Linked DNA regions of Saccharomyces cerevisiae S288C. Changing the gene in region 1 together with any one later gene gives a genetic interaction. Each region holds a gene or a part of one and is shown in the gene's direction. Other genes may lie near its edges. The genes, in order: WHI4, PAU15 and PEX7.

Evidence for each region.
Region 2: mutations in WHI4 (region 1) and PAU15 together harm fitness less than expected from each alone (positive genetic interaction), as found in Saccharomyces cerevisiae (one large-scale study listed by BioGRID).
Region 3: mutations in WHI4 (region 1) and PEX7 together harm fitness more than expected from each alone (negative genetic interaction), as found in Saccharomyces cerevisiae (one large-scale study listed by BioGRID).

Annotation. Positions count from the first base shown.
Region 1 is NC_001136.10:54,415-58,180, reverse strand, and holds the start of WHI4 (Whi4p), read left to right. Parts: upstream 1-1,834; coding exon 1,835-3,766. Other genes in the region: HBT1 (Hbt1p), read left to right, coding at 1-916. UniProt on the Saccharomyces cerevisiae protein: Has a partially redundant function to WHI3, a dosage-dependent modulator of cell size.
Region 2 is NC_001141.2:432,421-434,969, forward strand, and holds PAU15 (seripauperin PAU15), read left to right. Parts: upstream 1-1,508; coding exon 1,509-1,883; downstream 1,884-2,549.
Region 3 is NC_001136.10:739,871-743,293, reverse strand, and holds PEX7 (Pex7p), read left to right. Parts: upstream 1-1,693; coding exon 1,694-2,821; downstream 2,822-3,423. Other genes in the region: ubiquitin-protein ligase SAN1, read left to right, coding at 1-1,252; DOP1 (Dop1p), read left to right, coding at 3,297-3,423. UniProt on the Saccharomyces cerevisiae protein: Receptor required for the peroxisomal import of proteins containing a C-terminal PTS2-type peroxisomal targeting signal, such as 3-oxoacyl-CoA thiolase. Specifically binds to cargo proteins containing a PTS2 peroxisomal targeting signal in the cytosol.

The DNA of each region.
Region 1 (3,766 bases):
CACCAATAATCCGGAAACAGGTACTACTGGAAACGTAGATACAACCGGAAGGATGGGTGCAAAATCCAAGACCTTCAGCTCGAACCCTTTTGATGATAGTAAAAATACAGACACTCATCTCGAAAACGCTAATGTTGCTGCCTTTGATAATTCCAGATCTGGAGACACTACATACTCCAAATCAGGGGATGCTGAAACAGCTGCTTACGATAATATTAAAAATGCGGACCCTACATATGCCAAATCACAAGATATTACTGGAATGACTCACGATCAGGAACCATCATCAGAACAAAAGGCCAGTTACGGTTCTGGCGGCAATTCCCAAAATCAAGAATATTCTAGCGACGATAATATTGATGTCAATAAGAATGCGAAAGTTTTAGAGGAAGACGCACCGGGCTACAAGCGTGAAGTAGATTTGAAGAACAAACGTAGAACCGACCTTGGTGGTGCCGACGCCTCAAACGCTTATGCTGCCGAAGTTGGTAATTTCCCTAGTTTGATTGACCCACATGTCCCAACATACGGATTTAAAGACACCAACACCTCTAGTTCTCAAAAGCCATCTGAGGGCACCTACCCAGAAACCACTTCCTATTCAATTCATAATGAAACAACTTCTCAGGGAAGGAAAGTGTCGGTGGGTTCAATGGGTTCCGGAAAATCAAAACATCATCACAATCATCACCGTCACAGCAGACAGAATTCTTCAAAAGGGTCTGACTACGACTATAATAATTCTACTCATTCAGCCGAGCACACTCCAAGACATCATCAGTACGGTTCCGATGAGGGTGAGCAAGATTACCATGACGACGAGCAAGGTGAGGAACAGGCTGGTAAACAAAGTTTCATGGGTAGAGTGAGAAAAAGTATTTCTGGCGGTACTTTTGGATTTAGGAGTGAAATTTAAACACTTCTCGATTAACAAATTCCCAGTATTCTTTGAAATCTATTTTTCTTCCTCAATTGAATTTGAATAACTGTCTACGCGGACTCCTCCTATCTACAACTACAACAAATTTTAACCACTTTATTACCACTTTCCTCTTTCATTTATTTTTGTCTTTTATGTTGTCAATTTACTAGTATTTTTTTTTTTTTCATTTACGTTCAAGGTTTTTTATACTCATTTAACTTGTCTTAGGTTATTTATATATATACCTATATATTTATATATATATATATATATGTATGTATATATTATTATCACCAAATGAGAAATAATAGCTAATTTGATTTTTGATTATTTAAAATATTGGTTTGTTCTTTCTGCAAACATCTCGTTTGGTACGATATTAGTGAAAAACGATGTAATTATCAACACGTGCATTACCCAGCGTTATATTTTCATTACCCGGACGTGGTGTTTTTTGTTTTTTAATGTTTCTTAGACTTAAAGAGGAATGGAATGGTTATTTGGATTAAATCATAGAAAAGTACAATTAAGGTTACGGCAGGAGCCTCGAACCGGTAGTTTTACAGAAAATAGACCCATCTGGTGGCAACACTAAATCATTGAAATAATAGCAAACAATTGTTTCAAAACTCCTCCCATTTGGATCTCATCTCAATTGTTTTTTCCTTCTTAGTTAAAAGTTCACGAAATTAGGAAATCTAAGAATCAAAATATAATCCGCTGTTATTTCTGCGTGTAAAGGTTTATCTTCTACTTGTGTCATATTTCACAAATTATCACTTTGCTAAAACAAGGGACTGACTTCTTTCTTTATTTTTCGAGCATTTTTCAAAAAAGCAGGGTTTTTGAAAACAGGAACCTTAGTTGCCACATCTACGCTGAAAAATAACGCTTAAGGTTTCTCAATTAACAATGTCATTAGTGCATAATCAGACGAATTTAAACGAATCCAAATTTCTTATAGAAAGGGCATTTAGTTCTAGTTCAGAAACCGTTCCATTATCAAAGGAGGCAACATATCCCATGCCAACTGCATATAGTTTTTCCGCAGTTAGGAGCAACAGCGAGACTAACATTAAAAGAGAGAACCCGCAAGGTTTTGCAAAAGAACCTATTATGACTTCTATGCTTCATAATTTGACCATGTCCACGGGGAAAGGGAACGGGAATGACGTCAATTCTTTAGCCCCACATGATGTGGATGTTGGCCCCTACTGTCTTTTGCTGAGGAATTTGCCAAAAGACATTACACTAAGAGAGTGTTATTGTATATTTTCACTAGCAACTGGGGTGTCAAGTATAGAACTAAAAAGGGATGATAGAGAACCCTTTAATGACAATGAAAAAGTCGTTGTGGTCAAATTTGGATCCCTTTCTTTAGTAACCCATTATGCTAATATATTAAACTCGAAGTCTGAGATTTTTGGGCCTAGTTTCCCCTTTAGGTCTCACATTGACGTAGTAAATGAACAAACGCAGCTTCCAGTGAGTTTTCAAGAACATGTTTCATCTGGCACTACAAATAGTTCTCCAAAGAATTACCAATTGTCGTCCAGTGCGCAAAATGAAATTCAAAATCAAAGTTTTAATACTATATCATATGGAAAAACTAGTTCCTCTCCATTAGGGCCTTCAGCGGCCAAGCCAAGGCCTTCATTACTTTCAGAGAGATCCCTCCGTTTCTCATTCAATGACCCATTCGGATTGGAAACAATCTCTCAAAGAAAAGAATCCGTACCCTTTCTACGAAATAGCATCTCACAACATGATTTATCAAACGTAACCACCACACCAGTTCCAGCAGGAATGCCACCTCAGAAGGACGCTGGCAAGTCACTTTTGCTACTAGAAAAGGATGAAATAAATGAAAGTATTTGGAATGGTGATGAATTAGTTAATGATGTTGGTAATTCTTCATTTGGTGCATCTTTACAAGAGCCTCCGATGTCATCTACGCCTGTGATGGAGTGGAATGCTTCCTCAACTGCTAATATTCCTCTTTTTCAATTATCTAGCCAAGAAAATCATCAGTCTAATCTGTTGCCTCCATCCCACCATTCAATTAGCCAGGATGTTCCACATATTCAATCACAACCTAATCTGAACAATTCAGGAGTAATACATTCCGCGACTTCTCTACCGCATTATCACTTATTGAACCAAATTAATGCTTCAACTAAGACACAAAGTATTCAGCAGAGCGTTTCGAATGTTCCTTCCAATTTGGACCTGAATCTCCAAACGGAAAATGGCCACCCACAATCTTCTGCTCCTAACGGGTCTTCAATATTCAACAACCAAAAGGTGAATCAAGGCTTTTTAGTGAGTGAACAAGACACCAGTACAATATCACGACAGAAAGAATGTTCTTCTACAGCTTCTGCCTCTGCATTTTCGAAAAATAACGAAACAAATGTGGCAGGTTCCACAACTATTTCACAGGCTGACCTATCACTACTAGCCAAGGTGCCACCACCAGCCAATCCCGCGGACCAAAATCCTCCTTGTAATACTCTTTATGTGGGTAATCTACCTCCGGATGCCACGGAACAAGAATTAAGGCAATTGTTTTCTAATCAGCAAGGTTTTCGTAGATTATCCTTCAGGAATAAAATGAACTCTCACGGTCATGGCAACGGTCATGGCCATGGTCCAATTTGTTTTGTAGAATTTGAGGATGTTAGCTTTGCCACTAGAGCATTGGCAGAATTATATGGTAGTCAACTACCTCACCCCCGCCCTTCCCTCAACAACAAAGGAGGTATCAGGTTGAGCTTCTCTAAAAATCCATTAGGCGTTAGAGGCTCAAACAGTAGGAGTAAATCTGGTTACAGCTTTAATGGA
Region 2 (2,549 bases), on another chromosome or scaffold:
CATATGTTCCTTTTCTGCAGCGAAAACCTCGGTGTTGTCAGAAACAATTTAAGAAAAGCACAGGCGAAATTGGGCTTGCACTGGGTGATCAACAATGCCAGAAATAAATGAGAAGCTTTTTACTCTTGCTTTTGCTTCTTCCTCTTTATGTTCAAGCCAGCCAAGCTATGTTATAGTGTTGAATGTCTTGAACCGTTATAGTTTCTAAAAATAACTTTACATTTTGTTATGCAATCTTCATCATCTCGAACTTTTCAACAAACGTTCAACAGTGATGGTCTTCCCCAGTGAACCAAAAGACATATGACGCTCGTATGGTATGTTAAAAACAACATAGAGGATAGTAGGTCGGGGTTTATTGTAGAAAGGACATAAATAGTTGACGTGGTAAATTTTCATCAACTAAAGCCACATCTATTTTGCCAAGTAGGAGATAATGTAATATGTAGAGGGATCGAGATTTACTGAAGCCTCACGTGAGGGCAATCTGGAATCAGATTGCACTGGTTTGCACCATACCTCTCAAAGAAGAAAACGTACTACTTTTTTAGTTGAGTATGGATAGGGTAGTGTTTCCTAAAGTTATAAGGTAAAAGGGGCAGAGGAAAAGTCGATAATAATTTGAAAGAAACTTGCTTCCATATTCACAAAGGAGCTGGATACTTCATGTCATCCGCACATATATCTACAAAAATTTCAACTTTTTGAGGTTGATACTAAGTCTTTCGCTACCAAAATGAAAGAAATCAATTTGGAGAGACTTAGGCTGAATATTTCCGCGTTCTCTCTGGGGATGAAAGATTTCTTACTGCAAAGAGTTTCAGTATTTACGGATTGGTTACAATTTTTTTTTTTTATCATAATCAATTCTTTGAATATCAACTTCTCTCAATACCATCCGCCTCTCAGCGGCTACAATTACGTAATTGCACCAAGGCCTTCGCCGAGAGTTTACATATTTGCAGACCCTAACAGTATACGACTCCCAACACACGTTTAATGTTGTACGAATTCAAGAGATAGAAATATTTCTTGCATGGAAGCCGTTTAGAGCAGACTGAATATGGGCTTAGACAATAAGCTTCTGTACGAGGGTCCAAATCTAAAATTCGGATATTCTTTTTGACCGAAAAAGGAAATGTCACAGGCACAGAAAAGGGTTTTATAAGGCACCTCGGCACCCTATAATTGGCATTCCCACATTCTGCGCATACGAATACACATGAGTGCCATAAAACAATACTCCACATACGAAGTCTATGAAAGATGTATGATTCGTTCAGAAACAAGGTCATCTCCATAGAGATAATGAGATTGTGTGAAAGATGAGATATGGAGGATATGTGAGGTGCTAAATGAGCACCTGTTAACGAATCGTTTAAGTAGTGATGACTGATGAAGGCATGGGTATAAATAGAGCTGCTTCAACTGTATGTCTTTGAGAATATGTTTTTATTCCTTTCTTTCCTGTTAAGCTTATATCAGCACTAAAAAACAAAACAAATATAATGGTCAAATTAACTTCAATCGCTGCTGGTGTCGCCGCCATCGCTGCTGGTGTTGCCGCTGCCCCAGCCACTACCACTCTATCTCCATCTGACGAAAGAGTTAACTTGGTCGAATTGGGTGTTTACGTCTCCGATATCAGAGCTCATTTGGCCCAATACTACTTGTTTCAAGCAGCTCATCCAAGTGAGACCTACCCAGTTGAAATTGCTGAAGCTGTTTTCAACTATGGTGACTTCACCACCATGTTGACTGGTATTCCAGCTGAACAAGTCACCAGAGTTATCACTGGTGTTCCATGGTACTCTACCAGATTGAGACCAGCTATCTCCAGTGCTCTATCTAAGGACGGTATTTACACTGCTATTCCAAAATAGAGACATGCCTTTACGAATGAGATTCCATAGACATTGAAAGTAACGAAAAAATGAAATAAAAAATGCTTTCAATATAAATACAGCTGATTACATATAAACATATATTAATATTATAAATTCATTTGCTTTCACGAACTACCGGCTGGGCGTCAATATAATAGGGAACGCATAGTTGCTCTTTTATCTTTCTCACAACTAGGGGTTTTTTTATGTGAGCTGTACGGAATAGGCCAGTTTTACAACAGGATTCGTAGATCAGAATCCGTTCAAGCTATTCACCTGTTACAGCAGTAGAGTTGCTCTTGTCTTGACCCGTGAATATTAAATACTGTAGAACCAGAACGGATACTTGAATATATTCAACGATGGGAAAATAAAAAGACATATAAGAAAAATGTGCTAGTACGGTAAGGAGGATACTGAAAAGAAAAGGAAAATATAGTTTAAAATAGTAAAGATAACCCACTTTCGTTATGGGTTTAGTGAGGGTTGGTAACGAACCGTAGCGCGGTGTAGTATGCTGTGAATAATTGTACTTTAGCATAGTTAACATTACAATCTTTGTACGTTTATATAACAAATATGATAGAGTATGAGAAAAATTAAATGATACATTTTGAGGTTAAGGTTGAAACTATTATATGGAAGAAAGGTGGAATATAGTTA
Region 3 (3,423 bases), 690 kb from region 1:
AGGAACAAAAAAAAGGAAGGATAATGAAGGTGCGCCCCTACGCACAACCGCCGATAATGACAGTAACCCATCGATTACAAATGCTACGGTTGTTGAACCGCCTTCTATTCCTCTCACTGAACAACAACGCACTCTCAATGATGAAGAAACAAATCCAAGCTACAAACACTCACCAATCAAGTTACCTTGTGGCCACATTTTTGGGAGGGAATGTATCTACAAATGGTCAAGATTAGAAAATTCTTGTCCCCTTTGTAGACAAAAGATCAGCGAATCTGTAGGTGTTCAACGTGCAGCCCAACAAGATACGGATGAAGTAGCAGCTAACGAAGCTGCTTTTGAACGTATTAGACGAGTTTTATACGACCCAACTGCAGTGAATAGCACTAACGAAAATAGTTCCGCCCCATCCGAAAACACGTCCAATACAACGGTTCCCACTATCGGAAATGCAAGTTCTGGCGAACAGATGTTATCAAGAACAGGCTTTTTTTTAGTGCCTCAAAACGGCCAACCTTTACACAATCCAGTCCGTTTACCGCCTAATGATAGCGATAGAAACGGTGTCAACGGGCCGAGCTCAACTACTCAAAATCCACCCTCTAATTCTGGTGGTTCGAATAACAATCAAAGTCCGCGCTGGGTTCCCATCCCTTTGACTTTGTTCCAATTCCACAGTCCAAATCCGAATCCTTCCGCTTCTGATTCTTCGGCAAGCCCATCAGCAGCGAACGGTCCAAACTCAAATAACACTAGTAGTGACGCTACAGACCCTCACCACAACAGACTAAGAGCCGTTTTGGATCACATATTCAACGTTGCTCAGAGGGGAACTTCTGATACCTCTGCAACAACAGCACCCGGAGCACAAACTGTTCACAACCAAGGACGTAATGACTCATCGTCCTCTGATACAACGCAAGGAAGTTCCTTTTTGGAAAATATTTCACGATTAACAGGCCATTTTACGAATGGCTCAAGAGACAACAATAACGACAATAACCATAGCAATGATCAACAACGAGGTGGAAGTACTGGTGAGAACAACAGAAATAACTTGTTTTCCTCCGGTGTTGCCAGTTATAGAAATCAAAATGGTGATGTTACTACCGTCGAACTACGCAACAACAATTCTGCTGCCTTTCCTCCTACAGACGAAAATCCCTCTCAAGGCCAAGGTTCAAGCAGTTCGGACACCACCATTCATAACGACGTCCCTAATGATAACAATGAGCAACGATCATCACAATAAACAATACCGCTTCTGAAGTATGTTAATATGAAAATATGTCCTATTGGCAGTCATCCATTTTCAGACATTATTTTCTACTCCTTTTACCTTTTTTTTATCTGCATCTTTATATATATATATCATATACTTATTTTTCTTTACTTCTACTTAAAGTTCTATAATCATTGTTAATCAGAAATTTGCATGTCTCCAGCAAGTAAATATGAAGGCCGAGAAATTAAACCACCGACATAACCTCCTCTGAAAAGTCGTTTCGCAAAACAGTAAAAGGTGAAAACACTTTTAAGAACTGTGGAACACAAACTGTGTTTTCTTACCATAAAATCTTTTACCGGAGGTCGAAATCGTTTTCTTTCTGATTTGGAATTCGACGCTCGAAAAGTGCAGAGATCTCATATTGTTAACGGACTATCATCTAACTTTTTGCATAATTTATACAACATGCTCAGATATCATATGCAAGGTTTTAGTGGGTACGGTGTCCAGTATTCTCCCTTTTTCGATAACAGGCTCGCGGTAGCTGCTGGTTCAAACTTTGGCCTGGTTGGGAATGGAAAATTGTTCATCCTTGAGATTGATCGTTCAGGTAGAATAGTGGAAGTTAATTCCTTTTTAACACAGGATTGTTTATTTGATCTTGCATGGAACGAAAGTCATGAAAACCAAGTGTTGGTTGCACAGGGCGATGGTACATTACGCTTGTTTGATACAACCTTTAAAGAGTTTCCTATTGCTATATTTAAAGAGCATGAACGAGAAGTATTCAGTTGTAATTGGAACTTAGTCAACAGGCAGAATTTCTTAAGTAGTTCATGGGATGGATCTATAAAAATATGGTCCCCTCTAAGAAAGCAAAGTTTAATGACCCTTACTCCACGACCTTTAGAGATTACCAAAATGGTGGATCCATTAAACGCCATTATATTGAAAAAGAAAAGCTTTACAGGTATTTCAAAAAACAGGAACTGTGTATACCAAGCACAGTTCTCGCCCCACGACCAAAATCTCGTATTATCCTGTTCAGGGAATTCTTATGCAAGCTTATTTGACATTAGACTACCTTCCGGCAAAAATCAGAATAATTTTTTAGTGCATTCAGGACTAGAAGCATTGACTTGCGATTTCAACAAATACAGACCTTATGTAGTTGCCACAGGAGGTGTAGATAATGCCATTAGAATCTGGGACATTAGGATGCTAAATAAAAATGAATCAGCGACTATCAAGAGGACTGTGCCCGGCCAACTTCACAATTCATCATGCATCAATGAAATCCCTAATGCGCACGGGCTGGCAATCAGAAAAGTTACCTGGTCCCCTCATCATTCCAATATTTTAATGTCAGCTTCATATGATATGACCTGTCGAATATGGAGAGATCTCAGCAACGATGGTGCAAAAGAAACATATAAAACTAACTCTACGGATGCTACTAAAGGTTCCATTTTCAATTTCACACAGCATTCAGAATTCGTATTTGGAGCTGACTGGAGCTTGTGGGGAAAGCCAGGATATGTGGCTTCAACTGCATGGGATGGAAATTTATTTGTATGGAACGGCTTAGGTTGACACATATTCTTTTTACACAAATTTTTTGCATTATTTAAACTTTAAAATTATTTTTCAATCATTGTCAGCATTTGGCAGATCATTTACGTAATTATTTAATATTCTCAACACGAAATTATGGGTAACAACGCTTCTGACTGTGCAAAAGAACATTCTAAAAACATACCTACGGCAAAAACTGCTAATTACTCAAATTAATCAAGTTTTTATAACGACATAAGCGAGTGCTGAAAGAAGGAATATTTAGAGTCCGATTACCGTTTTATTAATAAACGACATACTTATATATTTGCTGGGCGTTCCACCCGAGGCACGTGATCAAAAGTGATTTTGGTTTTTTCAAAGGCTAAGCTTCGATCTCACTGGAAAAGGAACAATAGCAATACCTAATATAAAACTCAAGCCTCCCAATTATGTTTATAACGGTGAAATAAAAAGCCGACAGAGCAGCTTTTTCTGAGAGGATCGACAAAAAATGTCCTTACCACTAAAGCCCCTTACAATTGACTCAAATAATAAACAACTAGACTCCAAACAGAAGAAGTTTCGTGCTAATGTCGAGCGAGCATTAGAAAGATTTGACTCTGTAACAGAATGGGCGG